4 linked regions of the Drosophila melanogaster genome follow. The protein of the gene in region 4 interacts with the protein of the main gene of each other region in a pairwise test. Each region holds a gene or a part of one and is shown on either strand. Other genes may lie near its edges. The genes, in order: Bace, bol, CG15422 and CG13040.

Region 1 (7,809 bases), on a different chromosome or scaffold from region 4:
ATTTCCAAAATGGAGGAACCCCCCTTTAAAGAAATAACGAAACTCAAACCAGTTCTCAAAATGTAGACTTTTATTTGATCGTGTCCGACTCACGTTAAGATATATGTTTGCAGCATAGACACAATAATTATTAAATATATATGCAAGTAGAATTCCGTAATATATTTGTATCGCATTAGTTGTACGTGTGCTTTAATAATTTATATTTACAATACTTAAAAGTCGCGTGAGACCAAGTTGGCTATTGATAAAATAAACTTTCAGTTTCGTTGGGGTTTTTTTGTTTTTGTTGGCTTCATTTTGGGGGCCAAAAGTGTGTTGTTAGCATATAAGTATGTATATTTGTGTAGATCTTTTTTTTTAAATTTTTGTTAGTTTATGTAAGACATACCTAGTTAAAGATTTTTTGCGCGATTATGCTTACACTTGAATATATATTTAGGATATATTTATTTAAATTTCTCCCTTCTCTCTTTACCTTTCTTCCATATTTTCGGGTTAAAACGAGCAATTAGCACTGAGTTAAATCTGGGATGAAAATTTGCATAAATTGTTTTCAACATTTTTTCTTTCGGAGCAACAGTTTAACGCTTTTATTCGCCTTTGGTATATATAATTTCGATATCTGTTGAATATTATTTTCGTATAACTCTTGAAGGGAAAAAAAATTTTGATGAATTGCATGAGGACATTTCCGTAATAAATATTTATGTACAATGAATAACAAACAATTAAACGTAATGCAAATGAAAGATCTAGGAAAGTATCAAAGTATGGGCCAAGTTTAGGTGGAAAAAGTTGACGTTCGTCCTCAACGTTCACAGGATTCGCAGCCCGGTCTCATCCAGACGCCTTAGACATCGGTCTCGGATCGTCGCCTCCGACCGGGTCCTCCGGCAAAGTTGGCTGCAGCCAGACCCATGCGATGTTTCGCCTCCTGGGTACCCGAATATCCCCGGGCCAAGCCAAAGTCCACGGTTCGTTTGGAACTTTGGAAGAGAAAGAAGTTTAGCAGTTACAAATGATTTGGTTAGATTAGGCTCTAACAATTAACCTTACTACTGGTAGCATTTAAATGAGTAAGAGAACTTTAGTTGCACATATGTATTAAACAATTTCTAATTAGACAGTTATATCTGTCTTCAATACTTACTTCTCCAGATCGTTTCGAGCCCGTATGATGGTGCGTCCAAAGCGAGTCATCAGTTCCATGAGTAGGTCGTCGGGCACCTCCTCCAGTTCGTTATAGCCAGCGCCACCGTATCCTCCATTGGATTGGCTATTTTAAAGTCAACGAAATGGAAAATTAGATGGGGAATTTGTTCGTATTTATACAATACAATGCGGCTGAACAGGATATCTAATTACGTTGGCCCCGTTGAATTTGACATTCGACTGGCTTAAAATCTTCATTTGCATGAAAACCCAATTATATGTTAAAGCCCAAATGTTTGGAGCATTTTCCATTCGAGCAATTGCTAATTAGTTGGCCAGGGTCAATGAATTTTTAATAGTTACTTTGATGGAAGGGAAATTGAGTTTGAAACCATACCACACATAAGGCATGTCCTTAGAATATGCTACATCTACATCAACGACTCAAGTGGTGTGGCCAAGTACTGCAATTTTTGACACACTTTTCTGTCAACGTTTACATTTTGTTAATTGAAAATTTTCCTTCGCCATGTGAGCGTTTTCTTTTATATATTTTATTTTTCAGCTGCCTAAGTATATTTCCATCTCCCACATGGGCAAGATTCATACTCAGTGGGATAATTGCTTGCCTCAAATATTTGTGTGGCACATTTTTCGGTTTTTGCAGCTTAAGTGCCGGAATTTAATTAGGCTATGTCCTTTTGTATGTGTTCAGCCAAATTGGAAAGGATATGTCTGCATGTGGTTGGGGTACAACTAGGTGATTGGGTACAACTACCTGGGCATCGGAGCTGCCTCGATGCTCGAGATGGCCAAGAGGCAGAAGAGGAGGAAGGCCAAGGCGAAGCAAGCGCATCGGTTTGTCATCTTTGTGCGGCTGTCTCCTGCAAGAATTTAAGAAATAATTTAATAAAAATCGAAGCTTGGAAAACTGCAATTTAAGCAAAGACATTCCAATGAAAACGACGATTAACGAGGTAAAAGGCTAGTGACGAACGCACCTTTAACACTGAAAATTGTGCCATTATCATATCATATAAAATGTAGTATTATTTTATTATCACTATTATTTAATAATGTCTATAACAGTTTTGTCTTCAACATATACAAAGTCATTTTACATATTTTTGAGGCCATAAACTTCGTGCGCTTTTCCAGTGCTTTCATAAACTATTTGAAAAGCCAAGCGGTTTAGTGTTCTAAGGTCAACATCAATTAGAAGTCGATGGCGAGGTGAGTTGAGTTTCCACCCACAACGGAAGTCGAGTGGCGTCCAGGTTTTTCCATTAAGTGATTCATTAACTGCTCAACGAAGCAGTCCCAATCTGGGCTACCCTTCCTGTTTTCTCCCCCCCTTCCTGCTTCACTCATTTGGGTTGGAAACTAGCTAGCAGGGCCAATATAACCTGTTGTCCACGAGTTGTCCCGAGTTTCACAAGACCTCCACTTTTTGCATTGCTCAACTGCACTTCCACTTCCTGTCATCGCACACGGATGCCCCTGCATCCTTCGGCCGCTACTCCTAAATGGGTGTTGTCACTGTTGTGTTTGCAGTTGCAAAACTATAGACCCGCACAATTCTCTGACATCACTGGCTATCCTTTGACACCCCGGCAGTATACCTGACATCTGTGGCATTCCCCCGGGCTACCAGAGTCCCCACTTGACACCCGGTGACACACATCATTGCCCGGCCAACAGGCTGGACAAATGAATTGGCTCCCGGAGCTGATGGCTTCTGTCATTGCCTTCATAACACCATCTCCTTTGGGTCCGGAGTCAACATTTATCCCACAGCCAGCTGGGAATTTGCGGACTACCGGATAACACATTTGGATAACCACTTCAGTCTCCTTAAGTGTCAATAAATAAATAAATGGAGTGGTATTTCTACGTAAACGATAGCTTAAATTATATATACTTTATACATTCTCGAACAATTTACAGAAAGTCCAATGTGTAATTCATTTATTATATGAAATGCAGATAAGCATAAATAGCCATGACTGTAAAACGCAATTGGAGTCGCTTACTCACAACCTATCCACTTACAAAGTTGTAAACAGATTAGATTGTTACACCTTCAGCCTTCGAAAGGTGACCCACTTGAGGTGACCCAGACATTTGGTAGAAAATTCTAAGAGCTCGTTTCTTTATTGATTCGTAATTGCGGATCGTTAATTAGGCGACTGGGGCGAAGCCAATGCGGTTGTTGCCCAAATCGAACTCGGTGTAGTACTGGCCAATGAAGACATCGCCCAGAATCCAGAAGTCGGTGCCCATGTACTCGAAGGCGGACATACAGTTGCCGTCCGACTGGATGATGTAGGCCGAGGGCTTCAGGACGAAGTTGGTGCCACCGATGTTGAAGGTGACATCGGGCAGGGAGCTGACGCTTGAGCAGTCCAGATAGCCATCCTCACCCACGTTCAGGATCTCGGAGAGGGTAATGTAAGCATTGTAGGGAGCCACGATCAGGGAGGTGCCGGTATCGGCAATAGCCTGGCAATCATCACACAGCGAGTAACCGTCAATGGAGGATCCAGCCATGGTGAACTGCCAGTAGCCCTGCTCCGAGATGGGAACGTAGGTCAGAGCGCCAGAGTACAGAGAGGCATCGGAGCCACCGAAGATGAGTTCACCACCCATAGTGGAGGTGCCATCGCGGGCCAGATAGAACGAGAAGACGGAGTTGTCGACCAGACCCTGGGACACCATGTTGTAGAACGGAGGAGCCACACCATCCACGGCCAGGGACTCATAGGCCATACCGAGAATGCCATCGAAGTTGGCATCGTTGAAGTTGGTGCCCGGCTCGTTGGTGGATTCAGCAAAGGTCTGGCTCTGGATGCTCAGGCCATTGACGTCGACGGTATCGGTGGACAGGTAGCCAGTTAGGCTGCCAGTGCCATACTGGATGGAGAAGGATTCGCCGTTGGCCACGTAGGTGGAGCTGGCGCTGGAGTCGTACTGGTTGTGGGTCAGGCAGGCATCGCTCTTGCAGGTGTTCGATGGCACCCACAGGTTCGAGGAGCCTGAGTCGAACAGAACCTTGAAGCTCTGAGCGGGAGTTCCGATGGAGATGGCTCCGTAGTAAGCCATATTCATCGAGTTGGACAGCTGTTCCTCATCCACGCTGCGAAGCGAGGGCAGCTGGTACTTGGTGCGCAGATAGGATTTCTCGGCCAAAACATTCTGACGCGTCTTCACAAAGTTCTGCTCCTTGAGGATCGGCACGCGATGGAGCTCGGCACTGGCCAGGGCTGCCAGGAGCACTACTACAGCGATGGTCTTGAACATTCTCTTGGTTTCTAGTCTACTCGAGTTCGACTAACTGACGATCGGTGTAGCGGGTCTAATTTATAGCACTTGCCATCAATCACAGCCCAAATTGTCCGGTGATAAGATTTGTTGACCACTCCAGTCTTAAGCAGTATGAGTTCTTAATGCTCGTCCGGCATTCGATATTTATAATCTGGCATATTATCATTTCAGGTGTGAGGTGATATTTCGATCTTTTCGATAGCGTTCTCAAGAAGTGAATCCTAAATTCCAATACGCAGCTGGACTTTGTTATGATTGGACATTTTGAGTGACTTTGATAGTGCTTACATTACGCGATAATAATAAGTGACTCTTCATGGTAATTTGTTTTAATATCATTGCATGATTAAGCTCACAGATAAGCCAATAAATTAGAGATAGCGATAAGTGTGTTAGGGTTTTAGGGTAAAACCATGCATTTGGGAAATTCACCAGGCATATTGGGCAAAACCCCTGCTTAGCAAAAAGCCAAATCATTTAGTAACTAAGGATGATGATATAATTGCTCGAGCATTAACTCACATTACCAGAATGAATTTGTTTTCAATTGGTTAATTTAAGGAAACGTGGGAATTTGATCGTTTTCAGCCAAGAGGAAACGCATTCACCTCGGCTTAAATTCCCTTCCAATCAAGTGGTTACACTCGAGCACTTTCACCAGCTATTTGCTCGGTCATATAAAAATATAAATTTCGTTTTAGCAGATAAAAAAGCAAATGCAGGTCCGGCGGCAGTCATCTTCTTGCCATGGCTCCTACTACCATTAAGCTTAAGACCCTATTGAAATCAGATTTAAAATCAAATAAAATGCCACTTCAATTGGCCAAGAAGGACAAAGGAGATTCATGGTTTCGATTGCGTTTTATTGCCAGCGCAGGGACTGTTTGCACATGTGGGATGGTGGGATGTTGAGCAGTAATGTGAGGATTTCTGGGTGGTGATTCTGTGTGGTGGTCAGCCACAGGTTAATTGTGGTCCAGAGCATCCGCTCTTATCGCCGAGGGCTAGTAACACACGAACAGACAAGGGGCCAAAATGGAGGTGTCCACGGGCGAGTGCGTTGCGCACTTTCGACCCAAAATAAAGTAATCAACGGATTTTACGCACCGTCGGGCAATTTCGGTAACCATACTGGTAACTGGGCACACGGGGCGTATGATTACCGAGCGACGTGGGCCGCCTGCTTTTTGTTTCTCGCATTCCTGCGTTGACATTTCATGTGCAATTATTAGGCTGCTCAAATAGCGCCCATGCCCAGTCCCCTTCAACCGTTTATCAATCATTTTTTGATTTATGGCCCAACGCGAGTGGATTGAACTGGAGTTGATTGTAGTCGGCAAATACATAAATAAAGTATACGCCCGGGGTGGCTGACCAACTAACCGAACAACTCACCGAATTGTGTGCGCTTGTATGAATTTCGATTTATTTTTATTTGCTGTGCGTGGACATGGCTTAAAGGCTTAGACCGAGATGCAAATAATATTTAACCAAAAATAATCAGCAAACATTCACAATTGGTAAATATATTTCATACAGCACAGAGGCAGAGCCAGAAAACAAATAAATTGCTATTATGGATAGTATCCGGTTCGGTCAGTGAGCATTTGCCTCCGAGTAATCAATAGGTGGGCGATTCGTTCAGGCAGGAGCACCCACTACTCATCCTTCTTCTACTCCACATCGAATTCTTTCCGCCGATTGCATTTTCACAGCTTGCTCGATCTCCGATGCACCCACTCGTGGTTTATGAGCCTCGGAGTCAGTCAAGTGCCAGGCGATTAATCGAGCAAGATATTGATGTTTCAAATCAACACTAGCCAGCGAACTTTGGCCTATAAGCACATTAAATATAACCCGACTGCGATGACAGATAAATTAAACAAGTGAAAATAGTTCAGTTAATGTTTTCAGTTAAATGAATTGTCGGGGAAAAGAACATTTGCTAGGGCTCATAAATGGAATACTAATTCTGATTGCTTATTTTCTTCCTACAGTTGGAACTAAATAATGTTTTTTCATAGGAGCTTCATTCATAAGAGCTTTTTAAAGATTGCCTTTTACAAACGAACAACTCCGGACCGAAGATGTTATCGCCTAACAAGCTGTTCTAAGGAACTTCAAAGGGATGTCCAGCAATCAGGAGTTGACTACTTAATCTGACATTTGAAACCCGCCTCGAGTATGAAAACCCATCTCCCGCAGTGGCCGCCGCATTCAAATCCCATCGAGCGGAATAGGCCAAACAGTTTGGCCTGCTTGGTGGCTAACCCAAATCAAGTGTTGCCCAGTCAGCACTGGCATTTGTCTAACGAGATGAGATTCCTGGCTGGCAGCTCCACAACCATCCACCCCACACCCACCTGCTACGCAAAACTCTCACCTTGGCCAAGTGGCAGTCTGGATGGCGATGGCTATGGCGATGGTGGGAGCTGGTAGGTGGGCCTGCAGCCTGGACTAAAGTGTAACACGAGAGTCAGACATTGAAATTGCATTGCCTTGATTGTGGCCAAACAACACAAGACACACTCGCACCCTGTGAGCCCCCGGCTTTTGTGGGTCGCTCGGTGGCCCGCTGCGTTGGTAACTGGAAACGTACTTATGATTGCTGGGTGAGGCAATCGGAGGTGGTGCTCGTGGTGCGAACCTGGAATCTGGACACAAAACCAGGCAAATTGAATTTGGGTCATTCAATCGCAAGGCCAGGGCTAAGGATTGTAGCCCACTTCCTCCAGCATCGACAATTAAAAATGGAAGCACGTGCTTTAATCCCAATACCCAGTATTAATTGACTTTGATGGGTATATCGCTTGGAGAAGTTATCATTCCCCAATCAACGTCTTCTATTTGGATTGCTACCAAAAATAGTTCCACACATCTAAGAATAGATTTTTTCAGAATGATATTATACCTCTATCTTAAAATTTGTTTATTTTAGACTCGAAATAAAAATATTATTAAAATCAGCTAGTTTGTTTAACTTAAGCCCTTTACCTTTGCCATTATTTAATTAGCGTTGCATTAATTTTGTTTCCGTTGACGCCTAAAATTGAATAAATTGTAGGTAATTTAGCAAAGCCTGCTAACGGCAGGAAAAGCCATATAATTAGGGGAAATTATTGCCACGACAGGCACTTTTAGTTGCATTAAATTTTCATATACCAAATGAAAATTGCGTATACGCATGGAAGGGGGTTGGCACTGGATGGGGAAGGGGGTAGGGGAAGAGAGCGCCACACCCGCCGCGTTGTAATTGGATGCTTATTGAATTAGTGACAAAGTCGGCGGATTGGCCGGAGGATTCTGCGGTGTCCATGCCGCTGGGCTTCC
Region 2 (8,720 bases), 7.2 Mb from region 4:
TAGACGTTTTGTAGCATTTTGCAATTACTACAGACGTTTTATCAAAAATTTCGCCGACTATTCGCGGCACATAACAAGATTATGTAAAAAGAATGTTCCATTCGAGTGGACAGATGAATGTCAAAAAGCATTCATACATTTAAAATCTCAGCTAATTAACCCAACACTCTTGCAGTACCCAGACTTCAGCAAAGAATTTTGCATAACAACAGATGCAAGCAAGCAAGCGTGTGGCGCAGTTTTAACTCAAAACCATAATGGCCACCAACTCCCAGTTGCTTATGCATCCAGAGCTTTTACGAAAGGTGAAAGCAATAAGAGTACAACAGAACAAGAGTTAGCAGCAATTCATTGGGCAATAATACATTTCAGACCATACATTTACGGAAAACATTTCACTGTGAAAACAGACCATAGACCATTGACATATTTATTCTCGATGGTGAACCCCAGCTCTAAATTAACTAGAATAAGGCTTGAACTAGAGGAATATAATTTTACAGTAGAGTATCTAAAGGGCAAGGACAATCATGTAGCAGATGCGTTATCAAGAATAACCATCAAAGAGCTAAAAGATATAACTGGAAATATATTAAAAGTCACTACAAGATTTCAAAGTAGACAAAAATCCTGCGCAGGAAAAGAACAATTGGATTTGCAAAAGCAAACCAAAGAAATAGCTTCAGAGCCCAACGTATACGAAGTCATAACAAATGACGAGGTACGAAAAGTAGTGACATTGCAATTGAATGACTCGATATGTTTATTTAAACATGGAAAGAAAATTATTGCAAGATATGATGTTGGTGATCTTTATACTAATGGAATTCTTGATTTAGATCAATTTCTCCAAAGGCTTGAATTGCAGGCCGGTATATATGATATCAGCCAAATCAAAATGGCACCGTGGAAAAAAATCTTTGAACACGTTTCAATAGATAAATTTAAAAATATGGGCAATAAAATATTAAAGAATTTAAAAGTAGCGCTACTTAACCCGGTGACCCAAATAAATAATGAAAAAGAAAAAGAAGCTATATTGTCTACATTACATGATGATCCAATACAAGGAGGGCATACAGGCATTACAAAAACCTTGGCCAAGGTCAAAAGACATTATTACTGGAAAAATATGAGTAAATACATAAAAGAGTACGTAAGAAAATGTCAAAAATGCCAAAAAGCAAAAACAACAAAGCACACAAAGACTCCAATGACGATAACTGAAACACCAGAACATGCTTTCGATAGAGTTGTTGTGGACACAATTGGTCCACTACCCAAGTCAGAAAATGGTAACGAGTACGCAGTCACTCTCATATGTGATTTAACCAAGTACTTAGTTGCCATACCAATAGCAAATAAAAGCGCAAAAACAGTCGCAAAAGCTATATTTGAATCTTTTATTCTAAAGTACGGTCCAATGAAGACGTTCATAACGGACATGGGAACAGAGTATAAGAATTCAATAATTACTGACCTGTGTAAATATTTGAAAATAAAAAATATAACATCAACAGCTCATCACCACCAGACAGTTGGAGTAGTAGAAAGAAGTCATAGAACTTTAAACGAGTATATACGATCCTACATATCGACGGACAAAACCGATTGGGACGTATGGCTTCAATATTTCGTATACTGCTTCAACACGACCCAATCTATGGTACATAATTATTGTCCATATGAATTAGTTTTCGGTAGAACAAGTAATTTACCAAAACATTTTAATAAACTACATAGCATAGAACCAATATATAACATAGATGATTACGCTAAGGAGAGTAAATATAGGTTAGAGGTAGCATATGCTCGAGCAAGAAAACTTCTTGAAGCACACAAAGAAAAAAATAAAGAAAATTATGACTTAAAAATAAAAGACATAGAATTAGAAGTAGGAGATAAAGTTTTACTAAGAAATGAGGTAGGTCATAAATTAGACTTTAAATATACGGGGCCCTATAAGATAGAAAGCATAGGAGATAATAACAATATTACGCTACTTACTAATAAAAACAAAAAACAAATAGTTCATAAAGATAGATTAAAGAAATTTCATTCATGATTGAATTTAAACTTATATTTTCCTTAATCATTTATACAAATTTTCCATACACTACGTATATTTTTATCTTTGCATTATAAAATCAACTATTGTTGTTCAAACAAAAACACAAACAAAATAAAAATAAAAATAAAATAATTTGCATTTAATAATCAAAATAACTTCACTAGGTTACGTTATTTTTCAAAAGGAGGGAGATGTAGTATGTGCCTATGCAATATTAAGAACAATTAAATAAAATAGCATATTAACTTATGGCAGCACTTTGTTGCTATGTTTATGTTTATGCACGCAGTTAGGCCAGGGCGGATGTAACATGATCACCCACTCGAAGGCCACAAAGTATAAGTGCATTGCCCACTCGAAGGCAAAAAGTATAAGTGCATGGTCAGCATTCACACGCCGACCAAATACATATTACATACGTACATACATATCTCGCTCTCCCGATAAGCCTAGATATATAAGATATACATAAGAACGCCGCTCCGCTGCTGGCGTACCCGGCAGCGCAGCTACGCGGATTAGCCTAAGTCAAAATATATAAAAAACTGTAAAATCGGAGAGACTCTGTAGACGTTGAGCTGACAGAACCATTTCTGCCTACTCTAAAATCAAAAGAAGAAATTGAATAAATATATGTCAGCCCGACGGCTGCCTTCAACTTAAAACGGACTTGTGTTCTTAATTGGAGTTCATCATTACACGAGAGCAGTTGTAGAACTAAAATTGTTGTGCTATATCGCTAAACGGTGAACGGTAAATATTGAAGAGAGTTTTCCTGGCTTCAATTTTCCTTTGCAATCGCCCCCACCATCCTTGGAATTTTGGGTTTTTTGGAAGAGAAAAACACATGTGGTGTGTCGCCACAGTGTTTTGGTTTTTCTCGGCCGCCCAAGTAGACGGCGCGTAGTTTTTCATTTTGACGGGAGTTTTCCTTTCGGTCGTCGCCTTACACTCATTTCTAATTGTGATTCGTAGGAAGTAAGTTGTCTAGTGCTATATATATATATATTCAAGTAAAATTGTTTTAAATCGGAACACACAACAATAATATATACAAGTAAACACCACTAAATATCGGAAAAGAAAGAAGAGCAAATAATTAAATTACAAAAGAAACCAAGAGAATATCAAGCTAAATCCCATCATCCCATCATCCCATCGTTTTTGGTCTTCTGGTTCTTGTTCATCACCGACGTTATTGATATTGATATTGAATACTGGATATTAAGATACATATATACAAACGCATCGTATCTGGGATAAACGTTCATCACAAGGAATATTAATGATACGCAAAGGCTGTAACTGTAAACTGTGTCCCCTCTCACGTAAGACGTAACGTAAGGCAGCCTGTGGAAACGACGTAGTTTGGACGCAATCAGAAAAATCTCCAAGGAGGACGCAGCTAACGGTGAGTTTTCCTGATGACAGAACAGGGGATTGCTTTTGGGTGGGGGGAGGATGAATGTCACTCGCAGGGAAAATGAAAAATGCCAGGCGAAAATTCTTGGCCATGCAACTCGTTTGGCCGCTCTGCCTCTTTCGCTCCCGCGTACGCTTATGTGTGTGTTTATGCAGCGGAAAACGTGTATTCTTGAGAAAAACCAGAAAATCGAAACCCGGAATTGGGTCAGTATGTCACACGCCGTCCCGCTCCCACCGATTCCAATTCCGATTCCGATTCGAGCTGCTAGTCTGGCTAAAAACTCTGGCTAAAACGTGTTTCGTGCTTAGTCAATTTGTTCTTTTTCATCTAGTCGCAGCTGCGCTGCCGCAGTTGGCGTCGCTGCACGGCCACTTGACTAAAAGCGGCCTAAACAGCATCGCCTCCAGAATGCCTAAAAAACAAAACAACAACATGTAGTGCCGCTGCACGTGTGCGAAAGAGAGGGCGGCGAAAGGTGGGAAAAAGACAGAATGTCTGTCACCCGCGCGACCAACTTAAATACCCTGTACTTATGTGAGGGAATATTGTAGAACAGCTTATTAGTATAGATTCTACACAATAAAACCGTTTAATCATATCACGAAATATTGATAATTAGTACATACAAAACATATGTGGTTTTGTCAGCATAACAAATAATATTATAATAATATAAGGTCAATACATGAGATTTTTAGGCCCTAATATAATTTTCCTAGAGGCAGAACTGCTTTTTTATTTATTATTAATTGCTAGATTCTTTTATACAAAGATAGTTACTTTTTAACTTACACATGTATGTACATATGTATGTGAATGTACATATATGTATATGCTGAGTATCTCCTATTCGCCAGCTTATCTTTTGTGATGTAAAATGATAAATGGCTCGCTCTCCGACTTTCGTAGTTTTGCCTCTCTCTAGTTTTTCGGCCACTCGCTTCACTTGATCTTGCACTCGGATTTCGGCCGAGTTGCAGTCGACAGCGCTGTCAGCGTCGACGGCGACTGCGGCGGCGGCGCTTTTACCTTGAGCACGCCTGCACTTGTCACAGCCCCTCCCCCCGCCCACCGACTCACACGCCGTTTGAATTTGAACTTCTGAAAAAGCCAACACCTTTCGAAATTGTAGCCGCTTTTATTTCTTTTTCTTTTGCCTCCGAGCAGCGGCATTTTTATATTTCTGATGTTTGCTAATAAAATTATTACGACTTGGCCGACAGCGGCTGCTAATGCGTTTTAAGGTCGCCGACGCTGCTCTTGTTGATTTTGATCCAATAAAAAAATGTGATGATGCCCCGCTTAGATTTCTCGGTCCATTTAACATGTGTCCATTGGCCCAGGATCCGATTTGATTTATTTCAAAGTTATTTATTATACAGTCAGGCGAAAAGCAAAACAAACATGAATGGGGAAAATTGAAGGCAAATGGCAGACAGCTGGTGCTCATTTTCCGGGATGCGAAAAAGGGATAGAATTGGGATAGTGCACTGAGAAAAATCAGTGAAAGAGTTCATATCATATCATACTGCATATGTTTGCATCTCAAGAATCTCTTTGTATGAGTAGAGATCAAATGGATAAGGAAACAGCTTTCGTTCATGAGATGTCTATCTCTAAAAACTACTTATAGGTGGAAATTTATTCTAGACAAGGGTAGAGAGCACTGCAAATACGTATCCAAAAACAACTCCCCAGATAATTCATCATTACATCATAACCGTTGCGAATTCATGACTAATGGCCGATGATTTTTCTCTCTGTGGGGAATACGCGACGTCGTGGGATAGGGATAACAACACGGAAGAGGCTCCATTATAGGTTGCTGGTTTACTAGTTAACTGGGCTCCAGCCAAGGGAGCGAAAGGGAAAGGTGACGAACGAGAGGGAGAGAGCGAGAGAGCTAGGGGGAATCTGAATTACAGAGAGTGGGCGGGGGTGGTGACACTGACAGTGGAGCACCTTCGTCATCGTCAAACATTCGGGCTGTATAAGAGCAATAAATAATGCACACGAAGAGCAGTGATGAGAGCCAATGATATGGGAAAATATCGGACGAGAAATTCGACAGAGAGAGAGAGAGAGAGAGAAAGCGGAGAGAAATTTGGGGGGCGAGCGTAAGAGATTCGCCTTGGGGGGTTGATTGTGTTTAATTTTTGCACTTAAGAGCGCAAAAAGTGGCTTTGATTTTCCGCCGGCCCTTCTCACGCAGCTTGGGGCATGCCAACTTTGATGGCCGATTTGACCAACCCCCAGGAGGGAATTCCCAACTTGGCTCATTAAATTGATAACATTAAGCAGGCGATATTTAATTTGATTTTCTCCAGACACAAACACAATCTGATACACAAATTGTATAGATTCTATAAGTTATAGTTTTCTGAAGATTTAAACTTAAAACAAAATTACTGTACTGTTTTCATAGTGTAAAATACCTATGCTAATTTTAGTTTTCGTGGCACTTTTAAATATTATACATAAGCATGATAATTTGTCAAAGTTTCTTGTAGTGCATATATTTTTCGCAGAGAGCATCCACTCAAAAATATTTCCGTATTCTTGGCAACATTGTTGTTGGCGATGGGTTAGTGGGCGGAAAAGTGGGTGTTGCGTGGGCAGTCGCCCCACATTTGCATGTTCCCAACACGGCACACATTTTCTCGCTTCTCTGCGCCGCTCACGCGTCTCTCTCTCTCTCGCTCTCTCTTGCCATTTTTCTCGCTCTCTGGACGGATGCCCAAGTATATAGCCCAAAGTCCCAAATTGGGATAGGGATGCGAAGGCTATAGCGCTAACCTATATAATTTTTTGTGTTCCGCTTCTAACAACAAGCACATCCTCTGGTGGTGCTCCAACCAAAAAAGGAAGGAAATCAAAACCTCTGGCAGTTGAAGGTTCTTTTTTCCTACACACTTTTTTAAAGCAGTTGCTGATTTTAATATATATTTTTCCACGTTTGTGGGGGCAGAGCAGCAGCGTTTTTTTTTTTTTTTTGCATTGCTTCTGGCTTTGAATTTAATGTTAAGTATACGCATCAGTGAACTCAATTTAATTATCATGATTGTTTCGTCCGCTGCCTGTCTTTGCTTTCGCTCTGCTTTGCCGTTGATGAAATTCAAATTTTCCAACTTCACAAACAGACGCTTCTCGCAATTTTCCAACGTGTTTTCCGCTGTTTTTTTTTTGTCCAGCTTATGTAAGTGAAGCGCTGAGAGCTGATAAAAATGAAATGAAAAAAAATTACCTAGCTAGCGGACGGACGGGACTGGCTGGCCATAATTACGAGCTTTAGATTCGCTCGCCCTTCGCCCATTTTTTATCAGTGGCGTTATTTATGCGTCCTCCCACAATGACAAAGTTTCACGGAGTGGTTGATAGTGTGGGTGGGGGGGCAGTGGTGGTGGTGGTGGGGGGTGCGCCTTTGATAGACAACAATTGAGCATTTGAAGTGCAGCGTAGCGCAAAGAGAGCTCAAAAGTGGAAAATATGTGGAAAAACAAAACTGAACTAAACTGAACTGACTGACTGCTATTCTCGTCGCAGCCGAAAACCCAAACGAAAAGCAATTAAGTTGCCTCGGATCATTGCACAATAAGTAAAGAATCAAAAAGCTCGAAACATAACTGTGTTTGCTGCCCGTCCAGCCAAAACCGTTGACGTCGCTGCCAACTTCGCAGTCGCTGCCGACGCTGCACACTGCTTTCGGCCCATATGAATAACAATAGGGCCAGTTGGCTGGTCGGCCAGAACCCAACGAATTCGGTTAATTAGTATTATAACTAGAAGCCCCCCAAAAAATAGGTGTTGCTCACCACGCCTCATTGGCCTGGATTTTAAACAAAACCAGTCAGATTAGCACAAAGCAGATGCGAACAAAACGCAGTTTTATGAATTAAATTACTTTATTTAAGATTTTAACGATTAATTACAAGCGTAATTTAATTTAATTTAAGGTAAACATGGACAAGATACGAATTTTATTTCGATTTAATTTCCAGATCAGTTTTTTTTTTACTAATTAATATATATTCTTTTATATGAGATATGCTTGGAAATCAACAGAAATGTACTTTGTTTCCAGTTGGAATTATAGCCACAGGCATTTCCAATTGTCATTTGCCGAAGCAAAGGCACAGTGCCAATCAGATAATCGCAACCTTAACCGTTATTAGATCACTGTACAGCTGCGTCGCAGTCGTCGTCTCTTTCTAGGGCGACAACAACTCTAATCGGAACGGGAGATTATGTGATTGAGAGAGAGAGTGGGTTGTTATTGGCGGTGGGCGGTTGTGGGCGGTGGGTGGTGTGTTTAATAAATAGGCCAAATATGTAATATTGCTAAAATGTGTTTATTGTAATCTTTTCACACACACACACACACAACTACACAAACTTAAAACAACGCACGTGCATCGTTGCATCCCTTGGATTTCGCTCAAAGAGAGCAAGCGCGCGGCAACAAAGAGCGCCAGAGAGAGTGGAGCGAACTGTGCTGCCGCAGTCGCTGCCGCTGTCGACGTCGACTGCGCAGTTGGGGGCCCCCAAATCGGGAAACTATATTCGTTCGACGCTGAGTCGTTGTTCTACCGTCGTTGAGATTGCAACACTTCTCGATTTCGGGTTTTCGGAATTATAAAAAATAACAGAAATCCGCCGTTGCCGCCGCTCTCCGCTTATTTTCGGCCAAAATACACAACTCTCGCGTCGCACGTAAAGTAAAAAAAAAGAGTTCTACATTTTATAACGCTGTGTGCATGTGTGTGTGTGCGTGTGCCAGTTTTTCATGCGTTTTCTGCCGCTGCAACAACAATTAACAACAATAACGACAACAAACAGTTACCACATCGCCTGTCCTCTCTGTCTGCCCCAACTCTCTCCCTGTCTCGCTCTCAAGCGCTTTTTAAACTGCTGCCATGTATTTTTAAACTGCGTTTTTTTCGCCAAAAAAACCATAAAAAAATATAAAAACAAAACAAGAGGGAAAAGTAAAAAAGCAAGATTTTTATGTGCTGGCCGCTGACAAAAGTCAACGACTACTATTTTGGCCCGAAACAAGGCAAAAGGTTGATGTGTGTTAGCCACAATAAAAGCTGTACGTTTGTATGTATCAAAAACTATGTTTGTGTGTGTGTGTGTACGTATGTGAGTGTGGAAAATCGTGTGAGAACGTACTTGATTTTGGGCTCACAAGGCGGCAGTTTGGATTTTTCGCCAGAAAAACAA
Region 3 (6,775 bases), on a different chromosome or scaffold from region 4:
TTATTAATTTCCAATGCGCATATCTAAGAATTTCATTTTCAGTGTAAGCAAGTCCATCAAAGGGAGGGCCAAATCATGAAAAGGACAAATGAAGTGAAATTTAAATGATTGCATACTCGGAGGCGTTTGTTGAACCACTTATTTTCACCTAATTGCACACTCGAGTGGACAGACGATGCTTTTTCCACTTGGTTGACTGGCCAAAAATGCGGGGCTGGGAAGTTCCACAAGTGGGGGCGTGGTCACTTACTGTTACGCAACAAAGTCACAAAAATATTTGCCAAGCATTTTACGTCCAACATTTTATCCGTCCGATTTTTTGGATGGCCCTTTCCCTCGGAAATGTTTACCCAATTTTTGGATGTGCCAGTAAATGGAAAAGTGAAAAATCGTTTATGAATTTCGTGGGCTTTTGTTTTGATTGCGACAATACGTGAGAAGCAATTATACGGCGGCACATGAAAGTGAGATCCGGAAATTGGCTTGAGTTTATGTACATGTATACGCATAAGAAGACCTTGGTTTTCCTGGAGTTCTGGGCGTGCAAACCGCAGGCATTAAAGGGACAACTTTGTGCTCCCTTCAACTTTTGCCTCATTTTTGTTTCTTTCGCTGGTTAATTTTTGCGCCTCGCGAAAAGAAACAAATTTTCATGCAAATGGAAATGGAAAATGCAAATTAACAAGTTCCTTAATGGCCTTGTGGGCGTAAGGGGGAGTGGCGGTTGCTGGTGTACACCTATGGCTGTAAAACTGTGAGCTGATTTCAATTAAAAGTTGAGAGGAACGCAAGCGTCAGTGCTTCTAAAACTATTGTGCATAAGAAACCGTTTTAATTTACAATATAGAGTTCAAAAATGTAAAAATATGTAAATTCTTTTTTTAATAATATTTTTAAAAATATTTAAATTATTGAATATGCTAAGCACATTGCCTAATTGTAAAAATATTCGACAACATTTTCGTAGTTACGCTGCAAGATTTCAAGAGTTTAGCAAAACTGTCAAGTCATCCCTCACCTCTGGCAGCATTTTGCCTTTCCGTCTTCAGTTTTACAACTCTATCAATCATCAACTTGCAGCGAGTGCCTGAAAACGGTAGCTCAATAAAATGTTCTTGAAAATGTTCGAAAAACATCTCAGCCCAACCCCGAAAACACTTTTCAGATACGAGTATTGCCATGACATGTCGACAAAAGCAATGATTCCTTTTGGGTAACCCATTTCTGCACCAACCGATTTTCCAACTTTCCCGATTTTCTTGCCAACTCTTGCTGCGTTACGCGATTTCCCAGCCACACTTGCATGTCATGACATGAGCAGGAAATGCGTTTTCTGACGCCGCTGCTAAAGAAGCCTCGTAAAGGTGGTATGCACTGAAGAAAAATGCATACAATCAATTTTTTCATAAATCCTTTATACACATTTCAACGTACATGTTGTTATTCTGTATAAAACCGATATTTTTTTTTTCAAAATTTTAAATCCCTTTAAAAATAATAATTACAATAATTTGGACTTTTGTGCGAAGCTGAATTTTGCAAATACTTTCATTTGATTTCTCTCAGTAAACGGGTTGCGAAATTTCGGATAGCTGCTTTTCCTGGTTTCTTGGTTAGGCTTACGGTTACGGTTTTTTGGCTATGCCGTGTGCCTGGTTCCGTTTCTTGTGCACCAAGCGGAGCGCCATAAATATTTAAATTGTGCGACGCCGCCGCCACCGCTTAAAACCACCAGAACCACCATCCCCCCAACCACATCCCCATCCATTTGCAACACCCCTTTTGCCACGCCCCCTTATGCGCCTGTCTTGCATGTTGCTTGCCGGCTTATTTTTTGACAGTTATCGATTCGAGGGCGCTGCCTCAGTTTCAGCTGCAGATTCAGATCCAGATTCAACTCCCGATTCCAAGCCCCAATTTTCTGATTTTGATTCTTCACTCGGGGACAGAGACATTTTATCTTGCCAGGACTCAATTCATTTCCTAAAATATGCACAAGGAGTTAAAAAATACATGTGGAAAAAGCGGAGGCTTCAAAGATGACGCACTTAATACACTTTTTCGAGTAAATTCGCTTGAGAAATTTTCTTTTTCTTCAGAGGTCTTGAAAATTTACATTATTTTTTATCCCCAAAGTGAATTGGCTACGTTTAAACTATCGTTTTTGCTATGGACAGTGATTTCATTACAGCCAGTTGGGATTTCCTTTTAATGGCTATAATAACTAAAGTGAGTGACTGTCATGCGGCCTGCCACGCCCCACCAACGCAGCGCGCCCACAAAAGCTCAGTCGATATGTTGCGCGTTATGCGGCACTCATTTCCTTCCTTCTTTTGCGTCAGTTGAAAACTTTGCCCGAAACTCGTTTGCCACTTTGTGCATGTTTAACTTTTTAGGGCAAGCACCCTTAACCCTTAAGCCGTAACCCTTAACCCCAGTTCCTTGATCGAAGTGACAATTCAAAGAGCGAATGAAATGCGAAATGCAGCACGAACCACTCAATTAAGTACAGCCAAAAAGGCTGCCGCTCTCCTGGTTGTCAAATCGAATATTCCGAATTTTATTTGATCAAGTGATTGAGATTCAGAGAGTCCCGAGAGACTTTTCTTGATTGACCGTCAGAAATTACCATGTTTTTCTATCCATACATTTAATATTTACCCACGTCGCCCCTCGAGGCAAAATCGTGTCTGCAAACTTTGCATAATAGACGTGCAAATGTTTGCCAAATATTTGCCGGCTAAGGAAAATGTGTAAAGAATTATTGGGAATTTTTCGGGGCTGAAAATTGGATAAATATTTGTGGCTTGACAACATTTTCTCAAGCTAAAGTTTGTTTTCACTAGAGTTAAGGAATTTAATCGCATTTAACCAAATACAAATATTTGCACGTTGGTTCATTTCCTTTCTTCGTGACAACGAAATACTTTATTTCTTTTTAAAACTTTAAACAAGTATTTACATGACTATATGTAAGTTAAGGAGAAATCCCCGGAAAAAACCAAACATGACTCATTAAAGAAACGAGGAAAATCTATTGATATGCAGGCTCAAATTTGAATTGAAAAGCTTATTCGAAAAAAGCTTTACCATTTGCCAATTTTCAGTTTATTTATCGATAACTTTGCTCTAGAAGCAATACTTTCGTCAATAGAAATAATTAAGAGTACCTACCTACCTATTCGCTATCAGCAAATGCTGATATTGAGCTTTTTTATGACGGCAAATATTTTGGCGTTTGTTTGGTTAGTCAGTCCCATGAGTTGGGCATTCGCTTAATTCAGTTACCAGCGATAAGTCGACACATTTGGACGGACTTTCTACAGAAGATTAGTGCACCACTATGCCACCACCACCCCACGATCATTGCGGCGGACCGCCTCATCGTCGTGGACCCGTGATTAAGGTACAGATTGCACCACCATGGCCACGCCGCCATCACCGCCCACCACCCCAAGTTGTGGTGGTGCAGCAGCAGGCTCCGCCACCGCCACCAGTCATGGTGGTGCAACAGGCGCCTCCGCCACCGTACTACCAAAATCCACCACCACCACCACCGCCCGGCAGCAGCCACTACCACAATCCACAGTATTGAGAAGGAACTTTGATCTGTAAAATCCTTCACAATGAATTTATACCACGTAGCCTTACTTAACAACTATATGTCCTCAATAAAGTATAACCTTATAAACTAAGTTTTAGTTTATAGTTTTTAGTTTTTTTGCATATTTGTCATGAGTAATGGTTGAGTTTCAATCGAGTTGATTCCATCACACACACTCCCTCTTTTTATTATCAAAATCTCTAATCCGTGTTTTTTTTTTTTAAGTCTTTATCGGAACACCTGGTTAATTTAGACGGCAATCACTTGTTGTTTTGTTAATGTCTAGCAAAACTTTAATTCATTTTCACCAATGCTCTGTCAATGCTTCTATGCTCCTATATCAGAAATAATAACGCGTTACCCATAGATAAGCCGGAATCAGTTAATATAGTAAACAAAATGCGAGTAAAATAGCGAAACCCGATCACCTGTAAATGCACAACTGTCCGGTCGCTGTTATCAGACCTTGTCGAATGACTAAGCCATCTTATCTTTGCCTCTAACCACTGGAATAATTCCCACAAACCCTGATTGATGGAGCTTCGCAGTTCCAGTTTGTTTCGAGCTAGACGTGTTGTGCCACGGACTTTCCAGTATTCAACGCGTTGCTGGGTGGTGAAGTTGGTTCGGTTGGCTGGTTGATTATTTGGCTAGTTAATCAACTATGCGGTACTATGAAGATCCATGTGGCTATCCTCCTCGCCATCACCATGGTCGTCCAAATATCGAAATTGATGTGGTTCCCGGTTGGGGTGGCGGCTACTATCCGCCGCCGCCTCCGCCTCGGCCCGCCGAGGTAGTCTACATGACCCCGGCGGCTACCTATGTGCCCGGCACACAGGTGATAATGCCGCAACCCTACGGCGGCGTCACGGTGGCCACCACCAATGGATACTATCCGCAGCAGCAGCAGCAGGCGTACGAGTATCAGTACCAGTATCAGCAGCCCTACAACAATCCACCGTATCCGCAGTGGTGAACGAGGTCGGAATGGAAACGAAGCCATCACCACTAACAAAAAAAAAATATACTATCGATGGAGTGAAGGAAGGGATAGATAACAAGAAATCAAAACAAATATCACTTTGTCCTAATCTTAAGTTGAAATGACAACGCAAATGGTGCAATGGTCTTGACATTACGCACCACAAAGTTAACAAGTTAATAACCAGAGGAAGGTACAAAAAAACAAAACTGGAATTTAACTTTAACCGTTTCAAAGAAAATATAATTGTGCTATATAACCTTAAAACGAAATAAATAAAATATCTTGCTCTTCAAAAAACCTACCCGTCTTTAATTCTAAAAATATTCTAAATACTGCATTATCGATTTTATTTATGTTTATGTAATTTAGTGTGAGTCATCAATCAGAAGCATGGAATTAAGTCCTTCCTCTTAAATATAAAATTGTGATTCATGGAAACCTTGAACTCTCCTCATGAAATTCAATTCGGAATTTCGTATTTATCAAATGGCACTTATCAATTTTATTTTTTTTTTATCGAAAAAAACACATTTATTCCACCTGACAAGATAACCAACTAAGCTACTGTGCAAAACGCACATAACAAAATTAGGAAAAAAAATTCCCCCTCATTAGCGATAAAAATTGACTTAAATAGTTAAGCAGGCGAAGAAGCAAGTTCAGTTCGAGAAAGCAGTCAAAGGCATTCACTTCACCCACTAAGGATACAATACTTGGATAGTTTCTGAAGAAAATGCCGTACTACGAGGAGGAACGTCGTCATCACCATCATCACCATCACGGTGGAAGGCCAATTGTAGAGGTGGACATTGTGCCGCCAAGGATTCCTCGACCAGTGATTGAGATCGGAGTGGGCGGCCGGTATCCACCACCACCGCCCAGGGTGGAGGTCATCACACCAGCTGCCGTCTACCAGCCGCCACCACCACGACCCATTATCGAGGTGGATGTGGTGCCACCAAGAGCTCCCTTCATCGAGTTCAACATCGGCGGTCGGCGTCCACCTCCCAGGGAAGAGGTCATCATCGTTCAGCAGCCCCCACCGCCCAGGTGGTAGGCGTGGTCTCCATATGACCGTCGTTCAACAACGAAGTAAAAAACTTTAAAAATATTTATTAAACTTCATGTATTTCTGCAAATAGAAACTATAAACTAACTTTTTACAAAACCTAAGCTCTTGTATAATAAAAATAAAAAATAAATAAACAGTTCACTCCTTCATGTTTGAATTTCGTGTTTATACTACTATATACTATAGTATACTATATATTACGCACATATTTCTTCATGTAAGCTGACATTTTAATTTGCCTCAATCTTATTGCCAATGCAATTGTAAATCCGCTCGAAATATTTGCTTAAATAACTTAAATGCACTTTACCTTAATTGAAATATACTTGATTGGTTTTCAATGTCGGTTCTTGCTGTGACACATTTTCATATTGCGAATATATATGCCTGCATTTATTTGCAATGTTAATGGTACAAATATGAAAATTGAACTGCAGGCGAACGACATAAACAATGGTCATGGTCATGATTCCTTTTCCACTCTCTATTTTCCGTACGGGTAATTGCTTTCGTGGATTTTTTGTGGTTTTTGTATATATTATTTGGCTTCGGTTTTGCTATCTGACTGGTGGGAAATGATTGATGTCCTCTGGTCGTAGCCAGCTTATCAATTATTGTACAACTAGTGCTGTCAGTACATAAACATATTTTAAGCTTTATTATAACGAAAACTGGGCAATAGTTTTCTCAATTTAAATGGCGTAATAAATATAAAAGATCTTGCTGGACTCAAAGTAAAATTTGAATTATGATTTTATATGAAAAGTTATACCATTCTTGCCGTATTTAAATAAGAATTGCATATCCAACTATGGCTTAAAATGTATATGTATACAAATGAAAAATATTTTTCATGATAAGAGTTCGGGAATTGATATCTAAAAAAGAATTAATTACTCATGAAGAGAAGAGTCAAGATAATTATTTTTGGATTCTTAAACTATCGAGAATAGCAAGTAAAAATGTATCCTAAAAAACCACTTAAGAAGAGGTCTATGATGAGTCACTCTAGAATGAAAAGTTCAACATCCCTAGAACATATGAGTCACAGAAAATCGAGGGATTGAGAGATTGAATCACAACTGCTGCAGCAGAATTACGAGTTTGATCC
Region 4 (7,866 bases):
TCAAGTGATTGTTAAAGGCCAACGAGGAGGAAGATGCAGTGTCGCCGATTGAAGTGCAAGGACACGGATGTAAGGATGTAAGGATAGCCCACGCACTCAATGGGATAGCCCACCATCTGCAGGCAGTCTCATTTGCGTAAGCGACCGCATCTAAGGCCAATTACTTGGCCCATTGTCGATTGATTGGCCTGGCTTGTTGTCCCGACTTCTCGACTTCCTCACAATCACCCACACACAGAGCCAAAGCTGCTGGAACCTAGGTCAGTTAACGAACTGCGTCTTTGATAAGCGCTTAGAAGCCAGAGCCAGCTGAAAACTGAAAACCCGAATAAGTGTTTTACTTAAAAACCCAAACCGGTTGGCGGCTCAAGTTCAGCCAAGTACTTAGCGACAAACAATTGGGCTTTGGACCAAACTAGGCAACTATAAAAACCCCGCGTTTGGCCTGTCATCATCAGCAGTTGCAATCGATTCAGCAATCACAGCATACCCCCCAAAAAAAAACCAATCCAAAGATGTTCAAATTCGTGAGTTGTCTAGGAGATGGAAGCTGAGTGCTGAGAGTCCTGTAACCCATTATCCTCCTCCACAGGTCGCCTTCTTCGCTTGCCTGGCTGTGGCCGCCGCTGCCCCCGGTCTGATTGCCGAGACCCACTCGATTGTCCAGCCGGCGATTCTTGCCAAGACTGCCTACGTGGACACCAGCGCCTCCTCGGCCATCACCCACCAGAGCAACGTGAACCTGGTGCGCAAGGTGCCAGTGGTCTACTCCGCCCCGGTTGTTCATGCTGCCCCAGTGGTACATGCCGCTCCTCTGGTCAAGACTGTGATCCCTGCCGCTCCCCTGGTCAAGACTGTGATCCCTGCCGCTCCCGTCCTTAAGACTGTGGTCTCCTCTGCTCCTCTGGTCCACACTGTCGTCCCAGCCGCTCCACTGGTCAAGACCGTCATCCCAGCTGCTCCGGTTATCAAGACCGTGATCCCAGCTGCCCCTCTGGTTCACACCGTCCACAGCGCCCCAGTTGTCTACTCCGCCTACCACAAGTGAATCGATTGAAAGCGAACTTATATGGTTATGATAAATTTGTTGAACGAGAAAATAAAAAAATCAATTGAAATTTAATTTAACTTCGATTTCTTTAGAAATGTACGAAATGTATGAATTTCTACATTTACCTAAAATATGTTTTCAAGCGATGACCTGGTCCTGGATCTTAATTAAAAAGTAAAGGTGTTACATTGCCTAGTAAGGGTATTGGCATATAAATGAAAATTGTTCAAAAAATAGTAAAATTTAAAAAAAATCAAAACAATTTTCAAAACTGTGTCAGCTTTTGAGATCTTGAGAACTCAAAGTTCATACGGACGGACAGATAAACGGACGGACAGATCATATCGGCTAGTGCTGCATATCAAGAATATATATACTTTATGTGATCGGAAACGCTTCCTTCTAAGCTGTTAAATACTTTTGATTCTAGTAATGAGTAAACAATGTATAATGTCAAATTTGAATTGATATGTTCAACATTGGTAAAAGTTAAAGAGCCATTTACTCATACATATGTATGAAAGCACGACCACAATTCATTTATTTTTTATTAAACGAAAAAAAGATCTACAATAATTGGTTTGCATAATTTATTTTTGGTGCTGCCTCTAGGCAGTTTTACTTTTGTGTTGTATTTTTATTTTTTTTAAGTTTTCGCACTCGGCTACCGGCTCGAGATTGCCAATGAATACTAATGAATACCCCACTAAAAGTCATTCAAATTGATTATTTAAATGCTAATTGGATTGGATCAAATCGATCAGCTATTCAAAATTTTGCCACAAAAAGAGCAATTCATAAAATTTCACAATTTCTACGATCAACAAATAAATTTATTCAAAGAAGCAATCATAACAATCCGTTCAAGCAAAAGGTTTCCTAATGATGGTAGACATGGGCCACTGGAGCAGCGGCGACGGCGACAGTCTTGACCACAGGAGCAACCACCGGGGTGATGATGGTCTTCTGGTGGTGCACCTGGGTGTGGCTCTGGTGGGAGACGGCATGGGGTAGAGCCTTCACCACGGGCACGGCGGCCACATGGTGGACAGCGGGTGCGACGTAGGTCTGGTGGTGCACCACGGGCACAGTCTTGATGACGGGAACCACTGGAGCCACGTGCTTGACCACGGGCACGATGGGAGCCACTTGCTTGACCACGGGCACGATGGGAGCCACATGCTTGACCACAGGAACCACTGGAGCCACAGTCTTAATCACGGGAACAGCTGGCACCACATGCTTCACCACGGGAGTGAGCACCGCCTGGTTGTGGTACTGGGTGAAGCTCTGGTGGGAGGTGGCCAGTGGGGCACTGTGCACCACGGCACCTACTTTGGCCACAACTGGGGCGACGGCCACGGGGTGCTCCTCAATGAATCCCGGTGCAGCGGCGACAATGGTGGCCAGGGCACAGATAGCAATCTGAATTTAAAAACAGCACGTTAGATCCTGAAACATATCCACAAATTCCATACTCCAATACTCACGAAGCGGAACATGTTGATTTGGTTTGAGGAGGTTTGAAGTCGACGAGTGACTGATGCTGATTTCAAACTATGTCTACGGCTTTATATGGCCAAAAGTTCGCCAGCTAGATTGTCCTTCAGCAAAAACGAACTAACGAGCAATTGGCAAAAACTTGTTTGCTTTACATTGAACTTGAACCCGGCGCTAAACTAAGCATCTGCGAACCCTCACTTGCAAATCAACCGACAATCAATTGTCGTTGGTCCGAAAAAGGTTTTCAAAGCCCGAACAATAATCCAAAAGATTGATACCACAAACATATTGTTAGTTCAGGTTCAGAGAGCCTAGACGAAGGTCTTTCGATTCGTGATAGCAAACAAAACAAGATGAAATGCAACTTAATTTTATACTATAAAATACCACAATTAAGGGCATCGCGCCTCCAGTCCGGATTCATTGGAGCTCAGATGCGGCAGCGGTAGGACAGGCAGGAGTATCCTGGTGATGAAAACGAAGAAATCGGATAAGGCTCTCAAGCACTGGGAATTTTGTGAATAATAGGCATTTGGATTACGCCAGGTGCTGGATCAGGTTCTCGTCATCCGACCCGGAACTGTAAGACTGAATTTCGAGACGGGGGATTCGGATGGTGGGCCCCACTCGATAGGTGGTGCTGGAAGATGAATTACCAATCACGTGGTTCTCTGTATCGTCATCCTGGGTGCTGCTCAAGGAGCTCATGTAGCGAGAGGTTGAGTTCACGAACTCGAAACCGACTCCCATTCTGGCCACGTTTTTGGCCATATACTGTTCGCGCCACGCCTGGTTGGATTCCTCATGGTATTCCAGAGTTGATTCATCGGACACATCCTCGTTGGATTGCATCTGATGCAGTATAATGGCGGGACTGGGCACCCAAATATCGCGACGACTGGTATTCGACATGATTATCGTTGCAGCTAACTAGTATTGTTCCCCTTATTTATCAGGCTTACTTAAAAAGTGGTTAAGCAAGGCCTGCCCGATGCTCCTTATATATTTGAATTGACCTAATTTGATTACAATTCATATCTATTTTCCATTAATAAGCAATTTGCTGTACACAAATTTGAAATCCACACATGACCAAATGCATCTGAAGGGGAAAGAAGGGGAAAAACGAGAAACCAGCAGCGCAAAACACTTGAAGTTCAAGTTCAAGAAAATTTCTATGTAGTTCTGAAAAGTATCTGCTTGTTGCAAAATCCAAGAAAAGTTCTATGATGCCGATAAGAAGCCGTGCTCGTAGAACATATACGTCAGTAAAACTGAATGCACGCATTTCATGAGATTTGCATTCCGTGAATATTGGGATAAGGTTGTTCATATTGCAAGCTTGTGCTTACTGACTTAATCTCAACAGGAATGAATACGCAGTCATTTCTATGATATGATGTATGATACACATTAAATTCTTAATTCGAAATAATAACGATTTAGTTTTAGTGAGAATGAACCACTTACACATAAAGTTTTTTTTTTGTTATACACGCTGCCTTTATTTACACATTTAACTAACTAAAACTATGCGATTCCATTGCCTAGCTACCCGGCACGTAGACCGGACTCAGATTGAGCTGCTCGTAGCCGGTGGCGCCTCCCTCCTGCGTTGCCTTCGTGTGAAAGGTTCGATTGAGATTGGTGGGCTCCACGTAGCCCAATGATCGGCCCATGGGCGCGATGACGAAGCGGGTTTGGGCCTGTGAGGAACCCTGGTAGGAGACCACTGAGGGCGCTGAATCGATGAGCAGACGAGGCGCCTCCGTCGCCGGTTTGGCCAAAACCAGAGCCATGTAAACTAAGGCCAGAAGCAACTAAAGGGATGTTAGAATTTAAATATTTGTCAGGTCATTATATTCCAAACCAGATGAGTAAAGGTCTATCCCAATTGGCAGCCCCTTAAAGCGACCCACTCTGTTTGGGGATACTCGTCCCACTCACCAGATGCCGCATGGTATCGATCCAAGCCCAATGGGTTGACTATGGAGAGGGTAAATCACTGAGAACACCACGGACCACGAACTGAGGTGGGCGGAACGGATCGAATGGAAGCGAGGACTGGAGGTTCCCCTTTCAAGTAACAAACACAAGGCGGAGCGAGTGGCAAAGTCAAACTGAAGTGCTGTGTGAATTGCTGTGCCATGAAATCACGGTGGAGCAGTTGCTGGCCCAAAACAGGGGCGGGCGTGGAGCATGCCAAGGGGGTAGATTGGATAGGTACCAGTGGTAGAGCCCCGCTCGCACAGCCGCTGGAGAACGGCGCGATCTGCGATCGAAGCGTTGGAAACACGCGCGCAGTCGCGGTTATCTTGCAATTGTGGGAGTGTCTCAACTTGGACGCAGCTTTACGTAAAGAAATAAACCGAAAAAAAACAAATATAAATAAATAAATGCCGAACGCCGCAAATATTGTAGTAATAGCACCGCAACAACAAAGCCTACAACATGCGACGCCGTCTGCGTCTGCGCAACTCGCTGAAGGTTGATCCACTCCGCTCCACTTCGCACCTCTGCCGCCCGCCCACCGCACCACCAACTTTTGTGGTTCGATATTTTGTTTGCTCTGGCAGCTGAAAAAAAACAACTAGAGAATACTCTCTATGCAGGTATTACTCTAAATCTAACAATCTAATAAGACTTTCCATCTTAAGCATCTTAAGCAAACAGGTATCCCCTTTTTCTTTTATAACTTTCAGTTGCACATAAAACCGACATGCCCACTTTATTTATAGTGTATTTCAGGCACTACCAATACTAATTTGGCGCTAGAGGTTTCTATATAGCTAAAGTTGCCGTCGTGGCTTCGCACAATCGCCGGCAATCCAGCAATCCGGCAATGTTGAGTCAGTCAGTCAGTTAGCCGATTAGCCGGAGGCGCGTAATGGAAGCTCTAAGTGCACGCAGCTCATGAGGGGCTGTCGTATTGGAGTAGCTTTTGATTAATTAATTAGCTGCACACAAAATGGCCCATAAATCTCTTAGCGGCAAGACAGGGCGACCCCTTTGGTCAAGGAGTCCTCTTGGCCAAGTCCGGCTATAAATGGCAGCGGCACATGTCTAACGGTAATTAGTTGCCCACTCAAGTGACCATCATGCACATCACGGTGAGTAATCTCCATAGTTTTGTCAGAGATCCCCAGCTACCAGCTCCCAGCTTCCACTGATTTTGATTCCCACATTTCGGACCAACAGGTTGTTTGCCTCGTATTCACCTGGGGCCTGAGCCACAGTCACGCAGCCACGACAATCCTGCATGGCAACGGACAGGTGGCCAGTGCCATTTCCCACCAGAGCTTCAGCAGATTATCCTCAGCAGAGCCACTAACCCTGCAGTCCCGAAAGCAAACACATCAGCTGCTCGTTCCCTCTGCCAGGATTGTTAATCATCACCAGGCGGCAGTGGAACGACAGCAGGTGGAGAGGTTCTTTCAGGCGGCAACGGCGGAGGCGGAGGAGGTGCCTGTCATCTCTGGACAGACACCCGCCCATCTCACCTACGCTGCCCATCCAGTGGTGCACCAGATGCTGCCAAGGATTAAGCCAGTGCGAAACATTAGCTACGCCTCCCTGATCCCAGGACCTCGCAGCCTGAACACTCATACGAATCGGAATTTGTCACCCGTTTGAGGTGCTATATATTATATTAAATTAAAGCTTTGGTTTAGGCTTTTATTCAATTCAACTACTAAAACATCAAGCAGTAACACTTAACACTCACATTCGACTCAAGTGCTTGTGAATAAAACTCGAATACTTTTTATCAAGGCTCAACTTAATTTGAGATCCAATGAGATTTGGAGATAAAGCAATAATCATAAGCCTCAAGATATTTTGCACTATTCAAATTTTTGCTAACCATGACAACTATTATTATTTGCATTCAAATATCCACACAAGTACAGACACCCAAGTTTCGCTTGTCAATATTTTCGTTTAGACAAATTCTCTTCATAATATAATAAGTATTTTAAATGTAGTTTAAATACTTTTAAACGGCAAATTATCAAGATTCGAGAAGCCAAAATTTGATATCAATATCAGAAGTCTCCGAAAAGGAGTGCGGGCAGCTAGCTAATCGAGGGATGAATGCTCGGCTGATCCTGAGGCAGCTTCCCAATCACTTGATCTTTCGCATCCTGCACTATTCCCTGATCTCCCAGCAGCTGCGGGACGAGCTGGTAGTTTCTGCAGGATCATTCAGATTAAAAGGTGGTGGAAACAAGGTGCTGGAGTGGCAGCCCTTCGTCCTGTGGCTTGCCAACCTGCTGCTGAACTACGCTGGCGATATACTGGGCAACCTGCTCTTGGGTAGTCTTCCATTGGAGCCACTGTGCAATACCGCAGATGTCATGCTCAGTTCGTTGATCTGGTGAGTGGGATCTATTGCGCTCAATAAATTAAAATTACATAGTTCACTGGTGCGTGAGGAACATATTTATTTTGTTTATATGAAGCTTTGTTTCCACTCAAAAAGGTACTGCATCTTTTACTGTCCCTTTGACCTGGCCCACGCCGTGACCAGCACTTTGGCCTTTCGCATCCTGGCCACCGCCATGTCTACGATTAGCCAGGTTCAGTTGATCGATCGAGGAGTCCATTTGGCGGCACAGGTCTACGGAAATGCTCCAATCCCGATGCTAGTGGTTGGCACCGTCATGGGCAGTGGAGCCGAAGTACTGAAACCGGTGGCGAGTCTTTTAATCAATAGATGTCAACACAACCAGATGGCATACCTGAAGTTGAGCAAGTCTGTTACACTAAACTAATAAATAATGAAATCGAAAACTTAATATTTCCTTTTTTACAGCACTTCAAAAGTTGCACTTTTCATCTCCCTCCTCTTCATGTTGGAAGTCTATAAAAGTCCAATAATTATGGGCATTAACAGGCATCAACTTATGGTCTACATACTGGTGATGACCACCGCCTTTAAGTTCCTGTCGCTGTGCTATCGAACGGATCATATAATTTGGCTATTGGAGCAACATATACGGTACACCCTCTTTGGTGGCCTCTCCAGGGATTTAACCAAGTTCTTCCAACGCCTGCTGGAGCCTAAAGTCCAGCGAACGTGGGCGTATGCGGAATTTGATTGAGACCCTCGTGTGCATTGCGCAATCGTATCAAACTACACGCTCTCCACATCCCCGCCAGATTGGGTGGTTAGGGTGTTGGGGCTGCAGGTCTAAGCGGCTTAAGTTACCGCCCCGTCCAGCCAAGCGATTGGATCACTGCAGCAGATGTCTCGCTTGATCGGGTTACGTATGCTAATCAGCTTAGAATCGCCCACTGGTGGTCAGAGGAGC

What was found.
Region 1: the proteins of CG13040 (region 4) and Bace interact in a two-hybrid assay, tested with the Drosophila melanogaster proteins (one large-scale study listed by BioGRID).
Region 2: the proteins of CG13040 (region 4) and bol interact in a two-hybrid assay, tested with the Drosophila melanogaster proteins (one large-scale study listed by BioGRID).
Region 3: the proteins of CG13040 (region 4) and CG15422 interact in a two-hybrid assay, tested with the Drosophila melanogaster proteins (one large-scale study listed by BioGRID).

Annotation. Positions count from the first base shown.
Region 1 is NT_033779.5:8,491,814-8,499,622, forward strand, and holds Bace (beta-site APP-cleaving enzyme), read right to left. Parts: upstream 4,495-7,809; 5' UTR 4,456-4,494; coding exon 3,337-4,455; 3' UTR 3,080-3,336; downstream 1-3,079. Other genes in the region: Dh31 (diuretic hormone 31), read right to left, coding at 854-989, 1,154-1,279, 1,931-2,022.
Region 2 is NT_037436.4:9,124,659-9,133,378, reverse strand, and holds the start of bol (boule), read left to right. Parts: upstream 1-3,023; 5' UTR 3,024-3,482; intron 3,483-8,065; exon of another isoform or gene 8,066-8,212; intron 8,213-8,720. UniProt on the Drosophila melanogaster protein: RNA-binding protein that plays a central role in spermatogenesis. Required for meiotic entry and germline differentiation, at the transition between G2 and M phases of meiosis I.
Region 3 is NT_033779.5:4,000,788-4,007,562, forward strand, and holds CG15422 (uncharacterized protein), read left to right. Parts: upstream 1-4,196; 5' UTR 4,197-4,268; coding exon 4,269-4,583; 3' UTR 4,584-4,883; downstream 4,884-6,775. Other genes in the region: CG34176 (uncharacterized protein), read left to right, coding at 3,344-3,595; CG15423 (uncharacterized protein), read left to right, coding at 5,326-5,649.
Region 4 is NT_037436.4:16,323,216-16,331,081, forward strand, and holds CG13040 (uncharacterized protein), read right to left. Parts: upstream 3,543-7,866; 5' UTR 3,467-3,542; coding exon of another isoform or gene 3,092-3,466; exon of another isoform or gene 3,020-3,091; 5' UTR 2,554-3,019; coding exon 2,542-2,553; intron 2,477-2,541; coding exon 1,931-2,476; 3' UTR 1,868-1,930; downstream 1-1,867. Other genes in the region: CG13059 (uncharacterized protein), read left to right, coding at 516-527, 593-1,048; CG13039 (uncharacterized protein), read right to left, coding at 3,092-3,466; CG13038 (uncharacterized protein), read right to left, coding at 4,102-4,374, 4,502-4,513; CG13058 (uncharacterized protein), read left to right, coding at 5,653-5,664, 5,753-6,187; CG33061 (uncharacterized protein), read left to right, coding at 6,643-6,929, 7,035-7,307, 7,368-7,656.